Linked DNA regions of Kluyveromyces lactis. The protein of the gene in region 3 interacts with the protein of the main gene of each other region in a pairwise test. Links are inferred from orthologs where the notes say so. Each region holds a gene or a part of one and is shown on either strand. Other genes may lie near its edges.

Region 1 (8,331 bases), on a different chromosome or scaffold from region 3:
GACAAATAGGTATCGGAGTTTTCGTAATTTCTAGTTGCTTCGTCCAGGTGATGTGGATTGAATTAAATCGTCGAGTCATATCAAATATTAAAGTGTTTTAAAGACCTTGCCTTACAAAGGTAGTCCTATGTGAGCCTTCTTTACTTCTAGAAAGACTCATACCTTGTCGGTGTGATTTGAGCTTTGATCAGAAAGTGCGGCAGAGCTCCTACCTCTTCCTTTCAGTCCTGTAGAACTCTCATAACCTTTAAGTTGTTTTTGAAACTCAACCTCTAAGGCGTAATAGTTTGTCAGTTTCTCCAGTGAATTTGACTTCTTGACTAGTTCCACGTTTTCCGCCAATCCTTTGGTCTCTTCCTTTTGTCTAACTAAACCTCCCATTACAGGCACATCCTTCGCTTGCTCCCATGGCTTCAACCGTGGTTTCAAGTGATGCTCTGTAGCCAAAGATTGGTCTAGTATGATATCTGGGACATCCACTACGTTTGGGACTGGTTTGTTATTAACAATGATATCCATCAACTCATCATAAGAGAGCTCGGTGGCTTCCTCCTTATTCTCCATGATTTAATTAAAATAGTTCCACTTTGGTGGATCCTAGTGAAAAGTAGGCAAAACTTTCAAACCAACTGCGCTCCTTGACGATTTAGGTGTTCTCTTCATCGGTTTCCCATCTTACTTATAATCATCTTTGATTCTCCGAGAAACCTTTAAGTGACTTTATATTTAAATTGTACTTTTTCAACATAATGCCATGATTTTGGCATTACATACCAACCTTGGGGAACCACATTTCGAACAATAAAATCATATCTGAAGATCATAACGACTGCTTGCTTGCTTGAAGCCCGCCATTTTACTAACAGGAAATGCATAGAAAAGTAATCTTATTATTAACAGTCTCTTTACTACTTCGAATTGGATTCTTTTCTTACGGTATTTTCCAAGACTCGCATTTTGACGTTAAATATACTGATATCGATTACTTTGTCTTTCATGATGCAGCTGGTTACGTTAACAATGGACAATCCCCTTATTTGCGTGATACATACAGGTACACACCTTTATTGAGCTTCTTGTTACTACCCAATTATTATCTAAAGTGGATTCATATGGGGAAAGTCTTCTTTGTTTTATTTGATCTCATTACAGGTGTGATGATCATAAAACTATTACAAGGTTCATGTCAATTGACAAAACAGCTAATTCTAGCTTCTATTTGGTTATTGAACCCGATTGTTATAACGATAAGTACTCGAGGAAACGCTGAATCGGTTTTATGTTTTTTGATCATATGTGCTTTATACTTTTTGAAAAGAGACAGGTTACTTATTTCAGGACTTTTCTATGGGTTATCGATTCATTTCAAGATCTATCCGATAATCTATGCGCTACCGATCGGAATATATCTCTTGTTGTCGAGTCACAATAGAAACTGCATTTGGCGATTGTTCATGATAGGGATATCGACGCTAATCGGCATAACTGCGCCGACGTATTTCATGTACAAGCTTTACGGGAGCGAATTTATCGAACACTCGTACATGTACCATCTCACGAGAACAGACCACAGACACAATTTTTCGATTTGGAACCTGGTCTTACTCTTAGAATCTGCTGGTATTCATCTTTCCCAATCTATCGAACTATCTAAGCTGGCATTCGTTCCTCAATTGACACTATGTGCAGTACTACCTTATCTATTGTGGAAATCACAGACGTTCGAAAATTTAATGAATGTCCTATTCGTACAAACATACGCATTCGTTACTTTCAATAAAGTATGCACTTCTCAATATTTCATTTGGTATTTGGTATTATCCCCATTTTATTTCGCAAATACAACCATTACATGGAGAAAAGGTGTGGTCTGTATATTTTTATGGATATTGTCTCAAGCCGTATGGCTTTCACAAGCATATCTACTTGAATTCAAAGGCCAAAATGTATTTTTCCCCAACTTATTCTTTGGCAATATAGTGTTTTTCCTCATCAACGTCTATCTACTCGGTGTCTTTATCACTGACATCAAATCCAGAACGTCATTCCAAGACAATCAACATAAGAAGAATATATAATTTTAACTTAGCATATACTGTAGCGTACTGTGACATTTTCAAAGCCACGATCGAAGTCCTGACGAGTATTTTGATGTTCCATTCCGTTCATCCAATTTCATATCCGTTGTCAGATTCACTCGCTGCTGTTTTCTTCATACTGATTATTGAAATAGAATTTGAAAAAAAAAAAGTATTCAAGTTTTGAATCTTACAAGTGAAATATGAGCTCATCGACATCTACTAGAAGAAGTACATTCAAAGCAGAGGCTGTCAGATTGAAATTAGCCCCTCCAGCTAGCGTGTAGGAAAACCCACTTTAACTAACAGAGTAACATAATGTCACGTTTTGAAATATATTCTCCAGAGGGATTGCGTGTCGATGGTCGTCGTTGGAATGAGCTAAGAAGTTTCAACTGTTCCATCAACACTCACCCGAATGCTGCAGATGGATCCTCGTACTTGGAACAAGGTAACAATAAGATTATCACATTAGTTGCTGGTCCTCAAGAACCATCCTCGAGGTCACAAGTCAATACGAAACAAGCTACTTTATCCGTTACTATTAACTTAACGAAGTTTGCCAAGATGGAAAGAAGCAAATCAAGCCATAAGAATGAAAGAAGAACCTTAGAATGGCAAGCTTCGTTAGTGCGTACATTTGAAAAGAACTTGATGCTTCATCTCTATCCTCGTACGTCAATTGACGTTCAAGTTCATGCTCTACAGTTAGATGGTGGGATTCTTGGGGCAATGCTTAATGGAATAACATTGGCTCTGATAGATGCTGGTATCGCAATGTATGATTTTGTAAGCGGGGTTTCAGTGGGACTTTATGATACTACACCACTACTAGACCTTAACTCGCTTGAGGAAAATGCAATGAGCAGTGTTACCATAGGCACAATTGGTAAATCAGAAAAATTATCTTTATTAATGGTGGAAGATAAAGTGCCTTTGGATAGACTTGAGAGTGTCATGGCCATCGGAATAGCAGGCACTCACAGAATTAGAGATTTAATGGATAAGGAGCTTAGAAAGCATGGAAAAACAAGAGTTGAAAACTCTTCGAATTGATTTTTAAACCATTAATTATAAACTTCACATAACATGTAAACATAAATGCATTCTACAATTCGGATCTTGCCTTTAACTACAATTTTTTACCTATAGATGAGAATAACCCCTTAGATTTTTCTCTCATGCTGCTAGAAAACATCTTCTTCTTCAAATGTGTAACATTTTGGTTCACCGTATTTGCGACGCTGTTCTTTTTACTCAAAATATCCGCTTGAGCATAAGCATCTTGAACATGTTTATTGACTTTGTAGTCTTTGAAGATAAAATCCTTATCAGATGTGGTAGAAGACTTCAAAGCATATTGGATCCAGCTCTGGAGTCCGGAGTCATATTCTTTTAATTGTTCCTTGTAATTGTTTAATTTTTTTAGTTTTTGGGAGTGAAGCTCATTACTGCTTAAAAGCTTGACCAAGTCTAGATTCGGGACAGTTGACTGGTGAACCACTGATGGAATTTCATCTCCTTCAGAACTGAATGCTTCTTTTAATTTTGATTCACCTTTTGGAGCTTCACCGTTCACGTGTTTGAATATAGTATCGTTACTAGAAACGTAGTCAGTAGATTCATTGGTAATTTGTATGTTCGTAGGGAGAGCCGGAGCAGATGCATTATTGGCAATCAGAGCAGGAACGTTATATATGGTTTGATTGTCATAAATTGTTTTAGTGTCAGCAATCGTCTTGAGGTCGTCATCATCTGATGCAACGTCATGTGGAAAAGCATTAAATTGACTTTCTCCGTCTGATGCTACCGATGAATTGCGTTGAATATTGGATGTTGTGTTTTTGTTCACTTCAACAATTTCCCCGTCCTCATTTACGGTGTATCCTTCGGGAGGATTGTTGATATCGATGGTCTCAGTAACAAAACCAGATCGGAATGCATCGGTGTCTGGTTTCCACTTGCCTAGATTGATTGACTCCCTGGTTGAGAATGCTAATTTCTGTGGGCCGTCTTCCTCGTCTTCAGAGCTGTCAGAATATCCTCCGACGTCATTTTCAGAATTCTGATCTGGAACGTCCGATTGGGTTATAGAGGATTGACTCAATCGTTTCGTTACGCTCTCCGTTATCGAATTAACATCGCTATCAGCTGTCAGTCCATCTGTATCGTTGTTATTCAATGTATGCCTATCTGAATCGTCGATTTCCTTGTCCTCATCAACCATCGCAGCGAAATAGCCACTTTTAGTGACTTCTAAATCTCCATCCTCATCAGTATAATCTATGTCATCATCGCTTGAATCGAGAACAGAGTTCCTGACAGGGTTTCTGAATTTAAAAGATTCTGCAGAATGAACAACATACTGTCCCAGGCTAACTTCGGAAATAGCACGTTCCTTCTCTTCGCCAGAAGACTCTGATGAATACCCGTCGTGATATGACAGGTCTGTTTTGGATGTTTTACGAAGCTTTACAGGCGACGCATTGTCTTTCATCAAACTTGGTTCTGAACCATAACCATTTAGCAGTGAATCAGAATCATTGCTGTCTCCTTCTTTTGAGTGTTGAATAGACAACTGGGATTCTGACGGAAGACTATTAATAGAACTTGGAGGCATCTCTTCTTTATCTTGACTTCCAATTGATTCTGGATGACTGTCTGATTTGGACCAGTTATCTTCATCTACCGCGTCTTTACTGCCTTTGTCATCTGAAATTGCAACATCACCCTGTATTCTAGAAGGAATTTCAGTTGTTGGGTCAATCATTTCGTCTTGCAACTCCACTGATATTTGGCTAGTTTCTACTTCAGAAGCAGCATTCTTGAAAAGTTCTACTTCGGTATCATCTCCTTTAAGGGGTTCTTCCTCTGCACTGACTATCTTGAAAGGTTCCACTTCAACATCAGCTCTTTTAACCGACTCTGCTTCAGAATCATCTCCCTTAAAGGATTCTTCCCCAACATTCACAATCTGGACAGGTTCAACTTCAACCTTAGCTCTCTTAACTGATTCTGCTACAGACTCAACTTCACTAACCGATTCTGCTTTCGCATTATCTGTTTTGTTAATCTCCGTAGCAGATTCAGCTAGCTTGGCCGATTCTATATCACTTTTAACAGATTCTCTGTCATCCGTATCTTCATCGTTTACGTATGCGGCAAAATAGCCAGTCTTCGATACCTTCAATTCTGCATCATCTTCATCCTCTGGATCACTGGTATTGTTAACGTCCTCATCTTTTGCAGTCATCTCTTGAGATATTTGATGCATTAGAGAATCTAGATCATCATTGACAGATTTATTTCCTGATCTTACAGATGTATTCAGAGAGTCAGATCTTAGGCAGGTGCCAATTGATGGATCAGGTGAGCTAGATTTTGCAATGTTGTTAGATTCAGGAATATTTACCTGTGGTAGTTGCGGAATATTATTCGTTAGGCCCTCATCCTCAGAATTAGATGAATAGGCATCCCAATCAGCACCGTCATAGTTTGCCTTTGACGCGCTAACCCATCTCTGGGACTTATGCCTAGTAATGTTATCACTCATTTTCGCGTTATCCTGATAGTGTTGCCTTGCTATGTCGTCCATAAAAGAATCCTCTTGATGTCCTTAACTTTCATTAAAGTGGCTTAAACTTAATCCCAAGGTTTTTGTTTATTATTTAATTTACTTTTCTTAAAAGAATGATCTAAATTGACACGAAGATCACAAGAAATTTACCTTGAAACGCAGATTTGAAAAATAAATGTGTCAGAGACAGGTCAAATCTTTTAAAGTAAGGTACCATGATGGATGATGTATATTAAAACAAATATGGTAAGCTTCCTCGATGAAAATACTGGTGGAGTAATGTTGCCAGTAATAATACGTACAGTATGTGAAATTTGACTAATATTCTATGCATTTATATATATATATCTTTTAATTTTTAGTATGAAAGAAATAATCACTCTACAAATGGACGTCCTGACCGTTAGCAAAAGATATTAGTAAATAGAAATTCAAACCGGAGATGAAGATCCATACAATGACAGCAACAACCGTAGTGAAAATGCTGTTACTGAAATCTTTGTAATGAACAGACTCATCTGATAGAGGTTCAGGGGAATTAATTAGATGAGCGTCCACCTCATCATCAGTATCATGAGCAATAACGGTAGCATCATCTGTGGCTAAGTTACTGGAAGACAAATTCTGTAATGCAAATAAGTTTGACGGTTCTTGAGAACAATCTATAGCCCAAGGAACTCTCATAATGTTTTTATTACTAGTGAAGTAAATCAATGGAGCACTCACAAATGGTAATAGTAACGAGAGAACCACCTGTGAGGCATTGAGAGCCCCTGATAAACCGTTTCTACCGGCCACCAATACTAAAATCAAACATGGTGTTATAGCAACAACACGCGTCAATGCACGCCTTAATGCTGGAGCAACAGTCCAATTTAAGAATCCTTCCGAGACCATTTGTCCACTTAGAGTACACACAATACCTGCAGATTGCCCAGAGAATAGTAAGGCCAAGACAAAAATTGTACCAGCAGTCTTTGAAAGAGTTTCTGATAATAGATTATAGATGGAGAAAAGATCTGCTTCGTGCGCATTGTTTGAAGTTACCCCGTATAGAGTGGCACCAGCTACAATTAGGATCGAACAGTTAACAAATAGGGCAACAGTAAATAATGAAACCAATAATTCAGCCATTGTGTAATTTAATGTGTCGTGGATTGCATCGATAGAAGGTTTGTAATTATCATGGTTATTATCTTCATCATTTTGTGATGGAATGTAATGTCCCTGTTTGATGTCGTAATCCCTTAATCTTGGTTGAACAACACCTGATCCGAGGTATAAGCTATGGGGCATAACTGTAGCTCCAAGAATTGCCAAACTTAGATACAAACCATCACTCTCGAAAACAGCTTTTGACGGTAGGAATCCCTTAAACACTTCACCTACAGAGTCGATGTGGACGGAGAATAACTCGATTGCGAAACAAACCACTGTTGCAAACACGAGTAACGAAACAAAGGCTTCGAACCACCGTACAAGTTTCAAGGATCCATTAGGCTTGTATGCCAATAACACAACCAAGACATCCACTACTGTTAAAATGACACCTAGTGGCAACGGGATCTTGAAAAGGATGTTCAAGGAGATTGCTGTACCAACCACTTCCGCAAGATCAGTAGCAATAATCGCCACTTCAGCTAGCACGTATAGAACCAAATTGAGGGTCGGAGGTAAATGTTTTTTACAATTTTGAGCCAAATCTAATCCGGTGACGGCACCTAACTTAGCACATAAGCATTGCCAAAATGCTGCTAGAATATTGGTGACCAGAACAGAGAATAAAAGTTTATATCTGTGCGCAGAACCTGCTGCCACAGCGGTACTGAAATTCCCCGGGTCCATGTATGAAACGGAAACCATTAATCCGGGACCCACAAACCTGGCATACTTCTTCAATATACGAACGCAGTTTTGGAATGTTTTAACGTAAGTCGGAGTATCAGTATCTCCTTCATGAACGAACGCATTATATTGCTGGTCATTGGTGTTCCATGCAGAAGACCCATCACTACCTGCAACCTTTTTAAACTGAAGAGAAGAAGACATGCGGGGTTATACTTGGGTAATATATTTTTTTTTTTTTGATTGTATTTATCAGAAGACAGTACACGTTCAGCGAAGTAGGTCCAGATGGTGAGTATATCACTTTCTTATATTTTGATAATGGTGCGGGGAACAAAAAAGAATGGATTGAAGACCTGTACTTGGAATGTGTCCGTCACACTAGCACAGCAGTTTTGAAATCGGTAGTGAACTCAAAAAGATGGTTAAGCAATAAAGTGCAATTAACTGTTTTCAGAAAAGCCAAACTAGACACACTTGAACTTTTCAGTAGGTTTCAATGAAAAGACTAGGCAAAGAAACTGAATAGGTGCAACTAATAAAAAATCGAGCCAGAAAACCAGGTTTCTTTGAACACACCAACACACCCTTATTGATAATAGTATGATGAAAACAGAATGGTCTAGATCGAAAATATCAGCTTCAAATTAATGGAATGCTAGTGGTATAAAAGGATTGCAAATCTCACACATCATGTTGAGTATTAAATATTGATGAAGTGAACAATTGAAACTGTAAGCATAATTTTTATATATATTTTCCAAGTACCTCTTTAATCCCAAAGAAAAAAAAAAGACAGTTAAAATTTCAGATCATTTAAGCCTGTATGAA
Region 2 (8,596 bases), on a different chromosome or scaffold from region 3:
CGAAACCCGCTAATACCTTTCCGGGCTCTCAACCTGTTTCTTTCCATCTGGCTGATATTGAGGAGAAGTTACTTGCGCAAGACTATTACGTATGTGAAAAGACAGATGGATTGCGTGCGTTAATGTTGATAATGGTGAATCCAGTTACAAAAGAGCAAGGGTGTTTTATGATTGACCGTGAAAACAACTACTATATGGTCAATGGATTTAGATTTCCATGTTTGCCCCGTGCCAATAAAAAAGAACTCCTAGAGACTTTGCAGGACGGTACGTTAATTGATGGTGAACTTGTCATGCAAACTAATCCAGTGACCAAGTTGAAGGAACTGAGGTACTTGATGTTCGACTGCCTTGCGGTAAATGGTCGTTCGTTAGTTCAATCGCCTACAAGTTCCCGTTTGGCTCATCTTGGCAAAGAGTTTTTCAAACCTTATTACGATTTAAGATCGTATTTTCCAGATAGATGTTCCACTTTCCCATTCAAAATTTCAATGAAACATATGAATTTCAGTTATGATTTGGCAAAAGTTGCAAAGACCTTGGATTCACTTCCACACGTATCTGATGGTCTAATTTTCACTCCAGTACAAGCGGCATATCATATTGGTGGTAAAGATAGCTACCTTTTGAAATGGAAACCAGAAGTAGAAAATACTGTGGATTTCAAACTGATCATTGAACCTCCTGTAGTAGAAGACAAATCTTTACCTAAAAGCGATAAAAACAGGTTTTACTACAATTACGATGTTAAGCCACTTTTCCATTTGTACGTTTGGCAAGGTGGTAATGACGTGAACAATAGAATACAGGACTTCGAACAACCCTTTACTAAGAGTGATTTGGAGCTTTTGGAGAGAACCTATAGAAAATTTGCAGAAATAGAAATCGACGACAAACAATGGAATGAGCTCAAGGCCATGGAGGAGCCATTGAACGGAAGAATTGTAGAATGTTCCAAAGATCAGGAATCAGGTGCATGGAAACTACTTAGGTTCAGAGACGATAAACTCAATGGTAATCACGTATCAGTCGTTCAAAAAGTCTTGGAAAGTATCGGTGATTCTGTTTCATTGGATGATCTAGAACAAGTGGTAGATGAAATGAGATCTCGCTGGAAAGAACGTGAACAAGGACTGAAAAATGCACAAAAACAATTCAACCATCAGGCTTCTGCGAGATCGTCGCTGTCGCAGCAACATTCAACCGAACCAGAGCAGTCGCAAGATCAACCAAAATATGTAGACGATGACGATGATAATTGGTCTGATGACGAGCCAGACACAAAAAGACAGAAGATTTAAGAATCTTGCGTCAAGTTAAAAGCATAACATATACACGAGCATATGTGCTCATATTATATTTCTTTCCTGTATTTACATGGGTTTTTTTGTAATATATAATATGTACAATTAGAATGGATATAGTGTAATACTCTTGAGCAATTCCCTTGGATTACCATTACCACTTAAGAAGTACTTTTCTTCGGTAAGCTGTTCGAAGGTTTTGTTCTGTAAATCTTTGTCAAGTACGATACCCGCCTTTTGGTAGAACTCCATCAATTTGGCAACTTCATCTTTATTAAGTTTGGTAACTTCGAACTCCTGTACTTTACCCTTTAGTAACTTTTCGGCCAAAATTTGTTCATAGTGGTATCTGGTCAAATATGGATCGTGAGGAAGCTTTTGCAAACCAATTGATAACGTTCTATTGGTTCTATCCAAACCCGAAGTAGCCAAAACAACACAGCTGTCCTTAGCAGCGAATTGCAAATCGCCAGAGACTAAATCAAAAATAGATTGACCAACCTGGAATTTTAAAATATGAATATTTTTGTTGCTTGTGTCTTTATATGCTGTGAATGGTGTAGTCAAAAGATGGGAGAAGTTATCAACAGTGAAATAGACCGGATGATCAGTTTGGTTAGTTAATTCTTTAATGAATGCATCGAAAACGGCTCCACGGTGACGAGATGGTGCCTTGACACTTAGTAAATCGTATAACGTGGATTTACCTGCAGATAAATTCACATTTCTCTTCACAGATAGGTCTTTACCCCCAGAGTGAACTAATTTATAGTCTTTGGAGAGTTTAATGGATTGCAATAATTCTTTTTTGTTGGATTTGACAAATTTGGTTAATAAGTTCTTGATGTACATTGGTTGAATGTATCTGTCTTCATCCAAGAAGAAGTCATTTCTACCATTTGTAAGAAGTTCGGAGTTGGAAACAGTTAACACAAGTCCCTTGTTTTCTAGTGCGTGAGCATGTAGCTGGGCCAGTAGAGTAGACTTACCCACACCTGGTTCACCTGTTAGAACAAGCTTTTTGTTTTCTGACTTCCGTAAGGCTTCGTACAATTTTCTAGTGGTGGAATCTCTAACTAGTGATATTGGACGTGTGAACAATTCATTGAATTGATTTTGCTTGAATGAACCCAGACGATACAAGAATTGTAATTGCTGCTCTGAGAAAGAATGGACATCTGCGGCACTGATGTTATTAGGATTAAACATGGGCAGATCGACAAAAGTTGCATTTTTATGTAAATTAGCCGTTGCAACAGCTGGTTGCCATCTCTTATACATGGAACCAGGAGTAATTCTTTTGGCTGCTGCCTTAGTTCCTGATTGAGCCTTAGCGAACCCTTGGGCTTTCTTCTTAGCTGCAGCCTCTACTGCAGCACTGCAGGAGAACTGTCTGGTATGTATTCTCAACATGATCGAAATATATCTTACGGGTCCGGATATCTCTAAAAAGAAGTGAAATCCGTCTCACTAATATAGCTTCTTTTTTACTAAATCACACTTCTGTAATTATTCTTAAAACCAACACAAATTGACTTATTAAAGTGGATTATTTCACGTAGTTCTGTTATTCTTTATCTATGTCACTTGAAGTCTGCCTGCTACTGAAGTAGTTCAAATTTCGAAAATTTTTCAGATATTGAAATCATTAAAGCTTAAGAGAAAATAAAATATACGTGTCACGTGAAAACACTAAGAACTATGGAAGTATATCTATTAAAGGGAAGAACGAAACACGCAATGCTATAAATGGTGTCGGACAGAAGATCTTAATCCTGTAGTTGGATACCTCTTGCTGTGAGGAAATCAAAGATTGGCCTTTGTGGTTTTTTGCCCTTTTCGTCGGATGGAGTAGGATCTGATGGAGCCTTTTGTTCCAAATCTTCGGTAACAAGTTCCACTGCTTGAGAGGGTTGCTGTAGTTCTTGCCCCTTCAGCTGCTGTTGTTCTTGGCTAATATTATATGAAGGGTTGAAGGTGTCGATGTACGAAAAAAAGGCGTTGAAGACGTTTTCATTGACTTCTTCAAGGTAAATTTTATCGTAGATATGTTTCATCTTGAACGTATCCATTTCGCTTTGATATTTACTGAAGTCAATCGGATCATATCCGAATTCTTGTAATCTAGTGTTGTAACCATCATAAACCGGGGCTTCCAATAATAAACCTAAAGCAGGGGCTTTTGGAATATTGATTTTTTCTTGACCGTATGCCTGCCTAATTCTTTCCAATGGACTGAAACATCTTGTGATCAAAGTTGCCATAGATATCATCTTACGAATTTGATGTAACATAAACGATTGACCGTGGATTTTGATCGATACCCATTCCGTCTTAGCTTCACCAATAACAAACGGTTCTGAGACTGTGATTTGCTTCATGAATCTCTTGGCGCTCGGATCGTTGAAATCTTTCCCCAAGGTGAAATTATGGAAGTTAAAAGTACCCTCGTATTGTTTTAATGCACTTCTGAATCTATCTAAACGTTCTTTTGAAATTCTGTAGGCTCTCTTGTGTTCTGCTTCGAGTTTCTTGAATGCTTTGCTCTTTTGATAAGTTTCATTGTTTTCATCAAAAGAATCTTTCGGCATGACAAAAGCTGCAATCTCTTCCAATTCCTCCTTGGTAAACTTAGATTCAGCCTCAGTAGAGAATGCTTCCCAGAATTGTGCACTTTCTACATCATCTTGGATAACATTCGGTATTTCCTTCTTGCTAGCTTCAATCTCGTTGTATAAATAAGTAGACGGTTTTGGGCCAATCAGTGAATAAGTTGGTAACAGATACTCGTACCATCTAGAGCTACACATTTTCCGACAGTCGAATGCCTTGTTGACACGGGAAATGTCCCAAACTCTAATCTGATCCGGCAATTCGTTGTTGATTTTTTCTTTGACTTCGGGATCTTCGATGATTAACTTTAATGAAATCACATTCCCACCTGCATGAACACCTTTATCGGTTCTTGCCGCACGTTGAAACCCGTTTTTCTTCAAATCTGTCGAATTTGCCTTGGATATCGCACCAGCTCTAACAAAGGCTTCAAACAGTTCCTTTTCAATGGTGTCGTTCGGTGGATTGTATTGCATTCCATGATATCCAGTACCGCAGTACCCAATCATGACTGCTACTTTCCTCTTGGGTAGACGAACTTCTTGGGGAATTGGATTTCCATCAGCATCCACAGCTAAAGCCACTGACTCGTCCTTATCCTTGGATCGAGTCTCTTTCTTTTCGTTGGAAAGGTCTGTGACAACAGCGGTTGGCCCATTATCAGTGTCGTTTGGTTTCTGACGCTTTTCAGAATTCTCACCATCCTCATAGTCAGCTTTCCGTGATCTGGTCTGCTTGTAGATGGCGCCTCTCTTGTAAGTATCTTCACCAGGTTGATCATCATCATAAACCGGTCTCAAATTTTGTTCTTCGCTCATAACACCCGCTTCTAGTTTTCCCTATTGAAGCACCTCTGCAGATAGATAAGTGGTAGGTCTGATTGAGCCTTAAGAAGAATAGAAAAGCCCAATTTAGCATTCAACGTTCAACCTTGAGACTTTCAATCAGAGCGATGAGCTGTTGATAAAAGTTTAAACTTTCCAAGATTTGTATGAAGAATCATATTTTTTCAGCAAAGAGGTCAGCGATGATCTAAGAAAATCATGAATACAGGAATAACATATTTCTTTAGCTCATTTTATCCATTTGGATACTCATTATGTGCGTTAACCTCTATCTGGAGCCCAGTGTATCGATTGTAAAAGGTTTGAGCACCTGTATACTGCGTTTACGAAGGTTATTAGATATATTTCTCAGTATCACGTGATTTGTTTGTTTCTTTTTCCTGGTATCTTGAAGGGCAGCATCAAATTTTCTTTTCATCATTATTAGACTGAAGCTCATCGCATAAAAGATGATGCTATACCTGAAGCGATGAGTACTCTACGAAATAGTATTCGAAGCTGTTGTATTGAATTCAAAGCCGGTCAGAATCAGGTATCGAAATAATAGCAATGAGACAATTGACAGAGGAAGAGACGAAAGTAATCTTCGAGAAGCTAGCAGGGTACATTGGAAGGAATATAGTGTACTTGGTGGATAATAAAGATCAACCTCATGTTTTCCGACTACAGAAGGATAGAGTGTACTATGTCCCAGAGCACATTGCCAATTTAGCTACTTCAGTTGCTAGACCGAACCTGATGTCATTGGGTCTCTGCATGGGGAAGTTTACCAAGACTGGGAAATTTAGATTGCATATCACATCTTTGTCAGTACTTGCGCAATACGCTAAGTACAAAGTGTGGATCAAACCTAATGGTGAGATGCCATTCCTATACGGTAACCACGTTTTGAAGGCACACGTTGGTAAGATGTCCGATGATATTCCAGAGCATGCAGGTGTAATCGTATTTTCGATGCATGATGTGCCATTAGGATTCGGTGTGAGTGCTAAGAGCACTTCTGAGTCCAGAGATCTTCAACCAACCAGTATTGTCGCATTCAGACAAGCAGATATTGGTGAGTACTTGAGAGATGAAGATACATTGTTTACTTAGGCGAATACTCCAAAGTACATTTTCACTTACTTGTTACATATATAGAACTTATTACTCATTTCACTTTCTGGATAGAACAAAACCTTCCCCTGGTGCAACTGCAATTCAGCGATGTTCCCACCTCAAAAAAAAGTTGTTATTTATCAACGATATTGTATATTATGATATATTACGGAACAAATAATACTCACATCTTCATCAAAGACTGTCTAAATTAAAATCAAAGACGACTGATATTTGATATCGCAGGAAAAACTACATTAATTAAAAGTAAAATGAATGTACATATGTTGTTAGTTCCCTCTAATGCTTACGCGAGTTTTTAGATTTAGCATTTGACGTTTTTTTACCTGCTGGCTTCTTCACGGCTTTCTTAGTGATATCTAATTTGGCTTCTGAAGCCTTAGATGCTTTAAAACCTTGAGTGTTCTTCCCAGAAATGTTCTTTTTGCTAACCCTATAAGTTGATCTCTCCTTTAACGGTAACCATCTTTCAGGATCCAACTTCTTAGACTCGTCAAAGTTCTTTGGTAGTTTCTTGTTTTTGTGCACTCTTCTTTTCTTCTTTGGAGTTGATTTGATCACCGACGATTTACTCTTACCATTCTCGAATACTGAAATTCCTGCATTAAGGAGGGAGTCAACATTAACATCGACGATAACTCCGTTGATATCATTAGCATCGACATAGTCACCAAGGTCGCTGGCGTCTGCTTTCGCGATGTATTTTGCAGAAGCAGAATTGTTATCTTTGGCAGCGAGTGCTCTGAAAATTCGCTCAGCCTTTTGAGTTTGGCCTTGTTCTAAAAATTTGAAAGCGATGAACTCCCAGAAAGAAACATCTTCTTCAAGAACCTGCTCTGAATATAATCTTAATAGCTTCGATAAATGCTTTGAAGTTGAAGAAGACCTGTTAGTAGCATCGTATAAGTTTAGCAAAACATAGGAAAGAATACGTTTATATTTAGATAATTCTTCCATAGGGAAATGATTCCAAACTTTTTCAGCTACAACCAAAGCTTTATCCAGATTTCCTGCTTTAACTAGTACTTGCACACACACCAATGTTTGAATCAAAAGTTTCTGTTCGTTTTTTATTTCTGCCTTGGCAGACCTATCTAGTTTCTTGCATAGAGCATCAGCTTGGTTTTCATAGGGTTCATATAAAACGTTACCCACATTTTCAGTGTAGAACTTGTTGGCAATTGAATGGACACTTGTTTTATTTTTACCAGCTTTGTTGTTACTGAACACTTTCAAAAGTTCAATGTTGCTAGAGATAATTTGTGCTTGTTGGAATGAAAATTGCGAGTGTTTTCCTGTTAGGGTTGGTGTGTCAAGTTCACGTAATAATAAAGGCAAATTATCCTTAAACTTTGAGATACTCACGTAGGATTTCAAATTGGCCTTGGCAAGTACAGTATTCAAGTCATTTTGATCGGCGGAATTTTCGACTATTTCTTTGAGGAGTGATTTAGCCTCTTCTTTGTGACCAAGCACCTGGTGTATATATGAAATTTGTAATTTAATTGCTCTTAAATCTTCGACCGCTGCATCATCTTCTTGTGCTAAGTTGAATGCTCTTTCTGCATACTCTAGTGCAGCTTCATGGTTCCTGATTGAACACAATTGACATGCTTTGTTAAACGAGATATCGTATGTATCGAATTCCTTATCAAGAGTAACATTTCCAACCAATTCAGGAATTTCTGAAAGAGCAGCTTCTTTATTGCATGCCAATTCTGCAGTATTATCGAGCTCATGTGGAATGGCTAGCAATTTCTGGTATACTTCATACGCCTTCTTAGGTTTCTTTTTTTTTAACAAGTTTTGAGCGTATATGTGCAAAAGCTGTCTTTGGGAATCTGTTAGAGTTTCAAGACTCATCAATTCATCTCCAATAAGGGATACGTCCGAATCAGATGCAAATTTCTTTTCCTTACCCACCTTATAACAAGCATATTGTTCGTAAGCTGAAAAACTATTGGGCTTTGCGGTCGCACTAGGGGAAAAAAGAACAGGTATCTTACGGTGAGCTTTTATAATCGCAGAGTATTGCTCAGAATCTAGAAGTTCGTTGAGAATAGCTCTACTTGTCTCCTCTTCACCGAGAGTCTTCGAGAGAGTATCGTACTTTGTCTGTATGGCATCAATGTGCACTTTTTCATCCTTTACATTAAGCTTCGTAAGCAAAGAAACCAAATCCTTAGCGTTCGACATTACTTTTTTCAGTAGAGCTTATTTCCTTCGGAAATTCCTCAATTACGATAGCAATGAGTCGATGGATCTCTATCGTGAGACAACTATTCGTTGGTCCCTATGAAGTGAATTTCGATAATCCATTTTTTTCTTCAACTTTTTTTCATTGTTGCAATGTTAAAAGAATGAAAAAAATGGCAAAGATCTGGATGAGCATATGTGAAATAAAAGATGTGATGACTAAATAAGGGATTTAACCTCAATGTAGTTCTCTTTTTTCAACTATGCTAGCATATTTGGCTACAATTGTTTCTGCAGGTCTTAATGATAATGTTGAAATGTTTTTTCACAAAGTAGAACTCTGTTTAACTATGATTAATTTCCCTTTTGTACCAATTTTTCCTCAGACAATTCCGCATATTTTCTTTATTGTACATGTAAAAAGTCTTGCATTCATAGAAATGTAATATTTAATCGAGCGATGAGATGAGATGAGATGCGGTTAGAGACCATAAGGCCGACTCTTTAAGCAGTAACTAA
Region 3 (9,068 bases):
CTGAGTAACTATGTGTTATCCCCTTCTGCATTTTTGGAGCTTCAGACTAAACACGAAATTACTAAATCGATGTATTCACGGCAACTCAAGGATTATGATTCCCAAATAATCAGTTTGGTTGTTGAAGTTAAACAGAAATCTTCAAACCAACATTGGCCCTCCAATTTTTTCCATTACAACAAATTGAATGCACCATCGGGAATTATGGGGTTGTCAAATTTGGGAAACACTTGTTACATGAATTCCGCATTACAATGTCTATTGCACATACCGGAACTCAATGAATACTTTCTTTACAAAGGCTATGAACGTGAAATTAATATCAACAATCCCTTAGGACACAAAGGTGACGTTGCCCATGCATTTGGACATCTGTTGTATTCACTCTTTGCACCTTCGTACGGTCAATCTACGTTTTATGCTCCCAGAAATTTCAAGAATACGATCGGTCACTATAATTCCCTTTTTGCCGGTTATGGTCAACAGGATTCTCAAGAATTTCTAGCATTTTTATTAGATGGTCTACACGAAGATCTCAATAGAGTGATCGAAAAGCCATACGTGAACAAACCAGAATTCCCAAATGATGGTCAAATAGATGATACAGATCAAATAGTGCTGTTGGCAGCCAATATGTGGGATTACATTAAAAAACGGAATGATTCAGTCATTATGGACCTTTTCGTCGGTTTATACAAATCAACACTTGTTTGCCCTAATTGCAACCATGTATCAATCACATTCGATCCATATAACGACTTGACATTACCTCTTCCCATTGAGAATTATTGGTCGACAAAGGTTACGATTTTTCCTCAAAACTCTCCTCCTTGCACCTTAGAAGTTGAACTATCTAAAACATCTTCTTACAATGACCTCAAAGCATATGTTGCTCAACATGCAAATATGCATGCGAATGACTTAATAGGCGCAGAGATATTTAATCATCAATTCTACAACAACTATGAATCGAACGTCGAAGCTGACTATTTGCCAATATCCGAGTTAATATCAGAAAGTGATACTGTTATATTTTACGAGGTTCATAGAGGACAAGATGATCTTGTTGTTCCGATCCTTAACACACGTTTTGAAGAAGGTTTTAAAACACCGAGGTTGTTTGGATATCCTTTCTTTATTGCACTCTCGCAAGCCGAACAATTCAGTTATGGTGCGATACGAAAGAAAATCGAAAAATGTTATCAAAACTTCTCCGGAGGATTTTCTGAGTTCCCCATAGTAGGTAAGACTAAGATGCCAGATCTCTCCTCCATGCCTTTATTGGAGAAAAGGTACAGTCAATGTGAGATAGAGTCAATTATGCCTGAATTAGAATATATCAATCCGGAGATGTCAGTCGATGAGTTTTTTCAACTGAAAATCTTGAAGGTTGATTCTGTCAGTTCGAATCGTAGAGTTACTAGTTTTTCTGGTGTTTCACTAGGACAGACTTCCGATGAGCCTAACTCACAAATATGGATACCGCCTACAGCATCCTTGATAACCTATAATCACAGCGAACTGATACGCAAAGCTCTCCCAGAGGCTATTGAAGCAGCATATTACTATTCTGATATGTTATCAAACGAAGATGATATTCCTAATGATCAAACAGTTTCGGATACTGCTAATGACCTTGCCACAAAGTCCTACACCAGTCCCAACCCCGAAGAAAATGTGACAAGTAGTGCAGAGGCCCTGGATGGAACATTGCACTTAAAAGTCAGTCCATTGTTAGATGTCCACAATGCGATTATTTGCGAATGGGAGGCTGTCAAAGTGATTAATGTTTTTGATGAAGATAATGGAGTGAACTGGGATCATCCAGCAATTCTTGAAAATTTGAGCTTGTCAGAAGTCAGAAAAACAAGAGCCCAAACAGAAAAATCAAGTATTACTCTCGATTCGTGTTTACGGCTCTTTTCTCAACCCGAAATTTTGGGCTCAGCAGACTCTTGGTACTGTCCGAATTGCAAACAGCATACCCAGGCTTCTAAACAGATAGAATTATGGAATACTCCTGATATTTTATTGATACATTTAAAGCGTTTCGAAAATCAGCGATCTTTTAGTGATAAGATCGACGCGACTGTTAAATTTCCAATAGAAGGTTTGGATATGTCTCCTTATTTATCTTACAAAAAGGAAGGTGAAAATGATGTTTATGATTTGATTGCTGTGGACAACCATTATGGTGGTCTTGGAGGTGGCCATTACACCGCATACTGCAGAAACTTTATTGACGGCAAATGGTACTATTTTGACGATTCCCGGGTTAATGAAGTATCTCCTGAAAATAGCATTGCCGGATCTGCTTACTTGTTATTCTACAGAAGACGCACTTCAGGGAACCAAACTCTTGGCAATGGAAAATTGCGGGACATTATTGATATTTCTCGGAAAGAATATGAACAGAAACAGGACGAGTTTATGACAAACGTGGAAACATTATACGCTGCAACACATACAGACACTGAGAGTGAAGCATCAGATTCGGACAGGAGCTCAGTTGATGAAGAAATGGACTCTGACAACAGCGACTGTGAAAATGATAAAAAATCAGCATTTGTTGATCAGAGCGATATTTCAAGCAATTCTTTAGGTATGGACAACTTAACATACAGTAACAGACCTTCAAAAGATAACACTATTCATACTTCGAAGAATGCAAATGGTAGCATCGAATCTACTTTGAACAACAATGAACTACCTGAAGCAGAACAAACGGTTACAGCAACAGAAAGAAAAGGAGCTCTACAATACAACGTATCGAGCCTCGAGGTTGGCAGTAATATTGCGAAATTAGATACGCATGACTCTTCGCGGAGAAAGCTTAGGCTTTTAGATAAAATATATCTTCCAGATTCCTCTAACCTTAACTCGAGTACAGATTCACTATCACCATGTATTTCCCACACAGAATCATCTTCTAATAATAACGAATCTTAGATTGTTCAGAATACAACATCACCCTTATTGAATTTCCTGGCCAGCAGCGAAATTTGCATACCGCACGAATAAATGCATTGAATCTTATTAGAAGCTCATTTTAGACAAATACATACCGAAATATAGCATTGACATTCGTTTATACGAACAAACAAACTATCACTCTATTTTATTAATAACCTCATCGTATAGCGGAATTGTTTCCGCTGCACCTTTTCTCGTAATGGTTATGGAACTAGCTACAGTTGCAAACTGTATAGCTTTCTCTAGATCGCGTTTTTGATATAATTGAGATACTACCGCTCCAAGGAAGGTATCACCAGCCGCAGTAGTATCAACAACTTTCTCAACCGCTATTGAAGGAACGTGACCTCCTTTAACGTTTTGCTTAGAGGTAAAAACTGCACCGAATTCTCCCAAAGTTATAATAACAACCGAGGAATTTGATGTGTTTATCAAATTACTCTGATAATACTGCGCTAATTCTAGGTATCCCAGCTTGAAGCTCTCCGCAATTCTCGATTTGTAGTTCTCAACCACGGCTTCACCATACAGTGATTCGCCAATTTGAATGGCTTCAATTTCATTAACAATTAAAATATCAACAGATTTCCAGTCTTCTACTTTTAATGCATGAAATGGAGAAGGGTTGAATACTACCTCAAAGTTTGGTCTATTTGCCTTTATCCAATTCATGATGGAAGGAGGATCAGGAATTTCATGTTGAAACACAATGAATTCTTTGGCGTTATTTTGAAACATCACTTCAAGCTGCTTATCAGAATACATAGTCTTACTGTTCGCTCCTGCTGTAATCATGATTCTATTTTGTCCCTTAGCTTTTTCCACTATAATTACTGCAACACCAGTTGACTCGTCATCAACCTCTTCAACATATTCTGTATTGATGTTATGATACTGCAATTTTGATAGTAGTTGATTTCCAAATGAATCAGAACCTACGTGGCCAACCATCCTAATGTTGCTTGTCTGGTCATCAGATGGTTTGGTTAATTTCGCGAGCGAAATGCATTGATTCAACCCCTTACCACCAGCATGTGTTTCAAACGAATCCGCAACGAAGGTCTCTCCTGCTACCGGAACACGCTCCGTATACGTGACCAAATCAAAATTTAACGATCCCACGACAACTATGCCCATACTGTTGTCTTGTTTACTTTGGGGTCCAAGCTCTTTATGTCGCAGTTAATGCATTGTATATACTGTCAAATCCTGCATATAATTCTTATCATTTCGTTTCAGATGTCCATAAATAAACCCAAAGCAGAGAACAAAACGGTACCTTTTTACATTTAAGCTAATTAAAAGTAACGAAGATGTAACGTACCACTTGACATCTATCCCACCTTTCGCTGGATTAGCTGTTATTTAGGGTATATCACATCAATATATCGGTCACGTGAGAATTATATTCTTTTAAGCAGCCTAGGGAGTCCGCAGATCTATTCAGAACCTTGTCACTTAAGAATTGAAAGGCATAACCAGTATACTGTATCGATTCCTGATAGTGTTCGACCCTCTCAGGGGTTTATACCAGTGTTTTCCATCCATTATTACTGCATAAATCTTTCAAACCTTCATAACGTCAAGGATGTATAAAAAAGTGAAAAACTTCAACTAGGTCTTTTACAAACGATTATAGCTCATCGCATGGGCTTAAGGATGGAGGAACTCCGCCAAGGAGTTGCTACAACCGATCAAGTATGACTGAAAGTATTGATATACATCCAATAGTTTTCCCACCCGAAGTTTTAGCTCGAATTTCGCCTGACATCTCCTTACAAAGACATTTGTCTTTGGAAACTCGACCATGTTCAAGAGGATTCGAAGAATTCAGAGATGTTGCCATTAACGATGGTAATATATCTAGGTACAGTACGAACTGTCAAAATGCAACTACAAATAACATTATTGGTTCCAGTCTTCTACGCTCTGGCAAGACCTTTGTGATAACTTCGATAACGGGTGGCATCATTGAAGAGACATTACCGGCGAACAATACTGAAGATGTTGGAGAAGAAGAATTGATGAAGCTTTCAGAAGATACTGATAGGCTCTGCGAAAATTCAACTATTTATCCCGTAGTAGAGGTACAACGTGGACGTGTTGGTGGTCCTACCGATGAAGAGATGATCACTTCAGAAAAGCTATACAAGACACTCTTACATTCTGGAATTCTTAAGAAAACAGCTTTGGCTGTATCGTGCGGTATTCGCAGGACTGAAGAAGATGGAAGTGTCACCACAATATACAGTGACGAGCTACTCGATGAGGAGAAAAAAATTAATGAAGCAAACAATAGGAAATGGTCCTATGTGCTTTATGCCAAAATACAAGTTTTCAGCCGTAACGGTCCAATTTATGATCTCTGTTGGAATTCTTTGATTAGTGCGCTAAAAACAGTGCAACTACCTAGAGCTTTCCTAGACGAACGTGCTGCTGATTTGAAAATTGCTATAAGAACCCGAGGTCGTAGTATGACAATTCGTGAAACATACGACATCTTATGCGACCCACACAAATCTTTACCTTTAAAATTGAACGAAGGAGAATTATGCTATGGTTCAAACTACGGAATCATTGACATCGAACCTTTAGCACAATTGGCCAAAAATGATGACGAAATGGACGTGGATAAACCAACTTCAGTATTATTAGCGGATATAGAAACAGAGGCCGAGGAATCATCAATTCTATCTACATTGTCCTTGACAACGAACAAAAATGGTCAATTCAAGGCTGCAACAATCATCGGAGGTGACTCTAAGATCACACCTGAAATGATAAAAAGGTGCATATTTTTATCTAAACAAAGATCAAAAGATATTGAATCCAAAGTTTAGTTGTGTAAGAAGCATATCGATATCTTTATAATACACGACATATTCAAACTTTCTTCAAAACAAACGTCAGAGTAATCTTGAACGTCAATCAATAGTTACTTACAAAAGAGGCTAAATTTCTAGTTATCTACGTGAGTTCTCTTTCGTACCAAATCATGACAGGAAACCTATTGAAGGTAAAACATCCATAAGAAAATGTAACATAAATAAACAAGGATGAAGAGAAGAGAATAAAAAATGATAGCGTGTGTTGAATATTACAACGTTTACATGCAAAAACATGTATTTATGCCTTCTTAGATCTAGTATTTCTCTTTCTTGGAGCTGGAGAAGGAGAGGGAGTACTCACATTCTTCAAATCGACATTCACATATTCGTTAACCTTAGCTGCAACACCACCACGAACTCTTTTAACAACCTTAGACTTCTTTGTGCCTTGACGTCTGTACACTTCAATGTAAAATGCAATGAATAAAAATAAGTAAGAAGAGATGATGGCGCATCCAGAGAAAGTGGCAGTAGTCGAACCGACACAAGAACCGCAATGTGGTAGGCTTGGGAAATAATCAGTAGCAACCTTTTGCCAAACCGCGAAATAAATGAAGCATATGTCAACAACGAATTGGATGATTTGGAATCTTGTAACCCATTCTTTCCACCAAACTCTAATACCTCTAGCTGCCAAGAAGTAGTACCAGTACATGACAACGTGGACACCCAAGTTCAGAGAAATTGGAACCCATGATATAGCCGTGGTACCGACCAATTGAGTGAAACATAGTAACGCAGTAGCACCGTGGTGGTAAGTGTGCAAAAATGTCAATTTCTTGTGCTTCAAGACCAAGAATATAGTGTCGATAAATTCGATAAACTTGGTAATGTAGTTCAAATAATACAAAGTAACCAAAGGTTGTGTCCAGGCACCATAATTGCAAATAGCGTAGTACAAACCATGTCTGATGATCATTGGGGTTAACTGTTCTATCATCAACACGAGCAATGTAGAAGATAAAAGTGTTAAAAACAAATTGTGCAATTGGAATAGGAAGTTCAACTTGAAAGGTTCGCTGTTCTTCAAAACAGCACGACCACCAAAGATGACGAGATAATAAGTTGCAATAGCAGCCAAGACTGGGTATAATTCACTTAATGGTAATTCACCAGATACAAACTTGAATTGACTTGGAATGAATTTTCCATCAGTAGCCTTAGTGACAATGGCATCAAAATTGTTCCATAATGAGATATTGAAAAAAGGTCTGTCAACTGTTGGGACATAATCCATCACCACTGGATATTTCTCTACAAAATCTTCAAGGTACTGTGAAGTGTTTGAAAGTGCGGACATGTTGAAGTATTGCTACAAAGTATCAATGAAATGACAAAACAGCAGTATGTGGAATTTCTTGTGAGATCTTCAGATTGTTTTCTTACGTTAGTTGCCCAAATGTTATGCGGAACCAAGCGTTTTCAAAAGAAATGTAATAAATGAGCGACAATTAAATGGATAATCGAGAGCCAATCTCTTGAAGATAGTTGGAAATATGAAAGACAGTTCGGCGTTCTCTTCATCTTTTTATTCGAAAAACACGTCAGTGGTGTTCGATTCCATTTCATTATTTGGAAATGTTGACGTTATGCCAAATTTTGAAATTTTACCTCGGTTCGTTGAATGTGATATGATGTAGCGAGTTAGTGTCAGCAGAGGCTTGGAATCTGTAGAACCGACAGAGCAAGAGATGGACAATGGTGTGCTTATCTGAAACGAACTTTAAAATTTCAGTGCATTAAGTGACTAATTGTTACAAATTTGTGTACATAGATAGGATCTGACACGTTCATACATGTGAGCGAATATAAAAAAAATATGGCCTGAAACCAGAAGGCTGTATGATTGATAATAATGACAGTAAAATTCATTGGCGCTGTTGATTATATGTGCTTGAATTGATCTGAGTTTGGTGTGGTGATTGTTGATTAAGATTACTCGTGTTTGTTGTAGGCATCAGGCCGAACGCTTCAGAGGATGAAGCAACCGCTGCAAGTGCGGCTAAAGGATCGTTAGCAAAGTTAATCGATTGTGGAACTGCCTGCACGGTTGGAGGTGGATTCGACGGAGCAGGAGGCAACGTAGGTGCCAGAGCCATTGGCTTCGATAAATCATTTGATTGTTTCGTTGGTACATTATGAGATAACTCCTGAACAATTACTTTGGAGACAACCGAATCACTTCCCTTAGAGGGAGGAATTGATGGAGGAGAAACAGAAGCATTGCGCATTGGTCTTAAAATTGGTAAATTTGATGGCCCAATCGGTGATGCCACAACAGTTGGTGATGTGTTTAAGATCGTATTAGTTTTAGTTTCCGAATCTTCGCCATCGTTCAATAGGCTTCTGATTGAAGACCTCCTACTGGAAGTAATTGTATGTGATTGTACTGGAGCATGATGAGTTTCAGAAGCATTCGCAGAAAAATGAACAGAGGGAGTTTGTGGTTTGCCAAGGTTCGAATAAGCATTGGAGATTGAGGGTTGAATTTCAGGAAGTTTATTAGTATTCAGTCTTGGAAGAGTATGTGGAACACTGAATGATGTGATAACAGGTGAATGCTGGGGAGGCAAACCTTGGGTTGGAGTTGGTAATCTCGAAAAACTATCTTCATTTCCGGTTAGAGAAAAGGATGGTTTGTGAATGGATGACAATTTAGAATCATTGAAAAATCCAACAGCAGGTTTTTGTTGCTGCGGTATCGTTTGTAGCGGAAGTGGCTCAATGGATGGTTTTTCCGCAGGCTTATTAACCGTTGCAGGCGAAGGCAATGAGTTCACGATAATAGCTGAACTCACATTGGGAGCCGGAGCAATAGCAACGGGTTTGGTAGACTGGTCTCCTGATGATAGAACTGATGAGGATGCAAGTTGGTTGTTGCCCATTTCAACAAGAGCATACCATCCATTTTGTTCCGCTTTCCTCTGGAAATAGTTTTTAACCATAGTTGTTGATTTTGTTCCAAGTTTCTGAGATATCGATGTCCAATTTGAACCAAACTCTCTGAGCAATTCTGGGAACTTTTTTGCTTCCTGTACACTCCAATAGCTCGATTTATGCACAGCTTCTGTTTGTTTCAATTTCTTCTTCATAGGTTGGTCTGCAGAATTGACGTTTGATTGATCATAAAGTGAATGCTTTGAAGAAACCTCATCCTCTGGTTTAAGATGGGATTCAGTATTATCAAATCCAATATCCGCATGATCA

What was found.
Region 1: the proteins of RRP43 (region 3) and SKI6 interact in binary tests that used the Saccharomyces cerevisiae proteins (3 or more experiments, as listed by UniProt). The link is inferred for Kluyveromyces lactis from reciprocal best matches to the Saccharomyces cerevisiae genes RRP43 and SKI6.
Region 2: the proteins of RRP43 (region 3) and NIP7 interact in binary tests that used the Saccharomyces cerevisiae proteins (3 or more experiments, as listed by UniProt). The link is inferred for Kluyveromyces lactis from reciprocal best matches to the Saccharomyces cerevisiae genes RRP43 and NIP7.

Annotation. Positions count from the first base shown.
Region 1 is NC_006040.1:808,576-816,906, reverse strand, and holds SKI6 (exosome non-catalytic core subunit SKI6), read left to right. Parts: upstream 1-2,396; coding exon 2,397-3,134; downstream 3,135-8,331. Other genes in the region: KLLA0_D09669g (uncharacterized protein), read right to left, coding at 157-564; GPI14 (glycosylphosphatidylinositol-alpha 1,4 mannosyltransferase I), read left to right, coding at 870-2,078; FYV8 (Fyv8p), read right to left, coding at 3,211-5,673; divalent metal ion transporter SMF2, read right to left, coding at 6,037-7,704. UniProt on the Saccharomyces cerevisiae protein: Non-catalytic component of the RNA exosome complex which has 3'->5' exoribonuclease activity and participates in a multitude of cellular RNA processing and degradation events.
Region 2 is NC_006038.1:196,441-205,036, forward strand, and holds NIP7 (ribosome biosynthesis protein NIP7), read left to right. Parts: upstream 1-5,311; coding exon 5,312-5,857; downstream 5,858-8,596. Other genes in the region: CEG1 (mRNA guanylyltransferase), read left to right, coding at 1-1,301; RSM23 (mitochondrial 37S ribosomal protein mS29), read right to left, coding at 1,410-2,717; pseudouridine synthase PUS1, read right to left, coding at 3,074-4,735; signal recognition particle subunit SRP72, read right to left, coding at 6,161-8,077. UniProt on the Saccharomyces cerevisiae protein: Required for proper 27S pre-rRNA processing and 60S ribosome subunit assembly.
Region 3 is NC_006039.1:315,625-324,692, forward strand, and holds RRP43 (exosome non-catalytic core subunit RRP43), read left to right. Parts: upstream 1-4,673; coding exon 4,674-5,813; downstream 5,814-9,068. Other genes in the region: putative ubiquitin-specific protease UBP12, read left to right, coding at 1-2,949; RBK1 (putative ribokinase), read right to left, coding at 3,109-4,110; KLLA0_C03542g (elongation of very long chain fatty acids protein), read right to left, coding at 6,100-7,161; SNT1 (Snt1p), read right to left, coding at 7,730-9,068.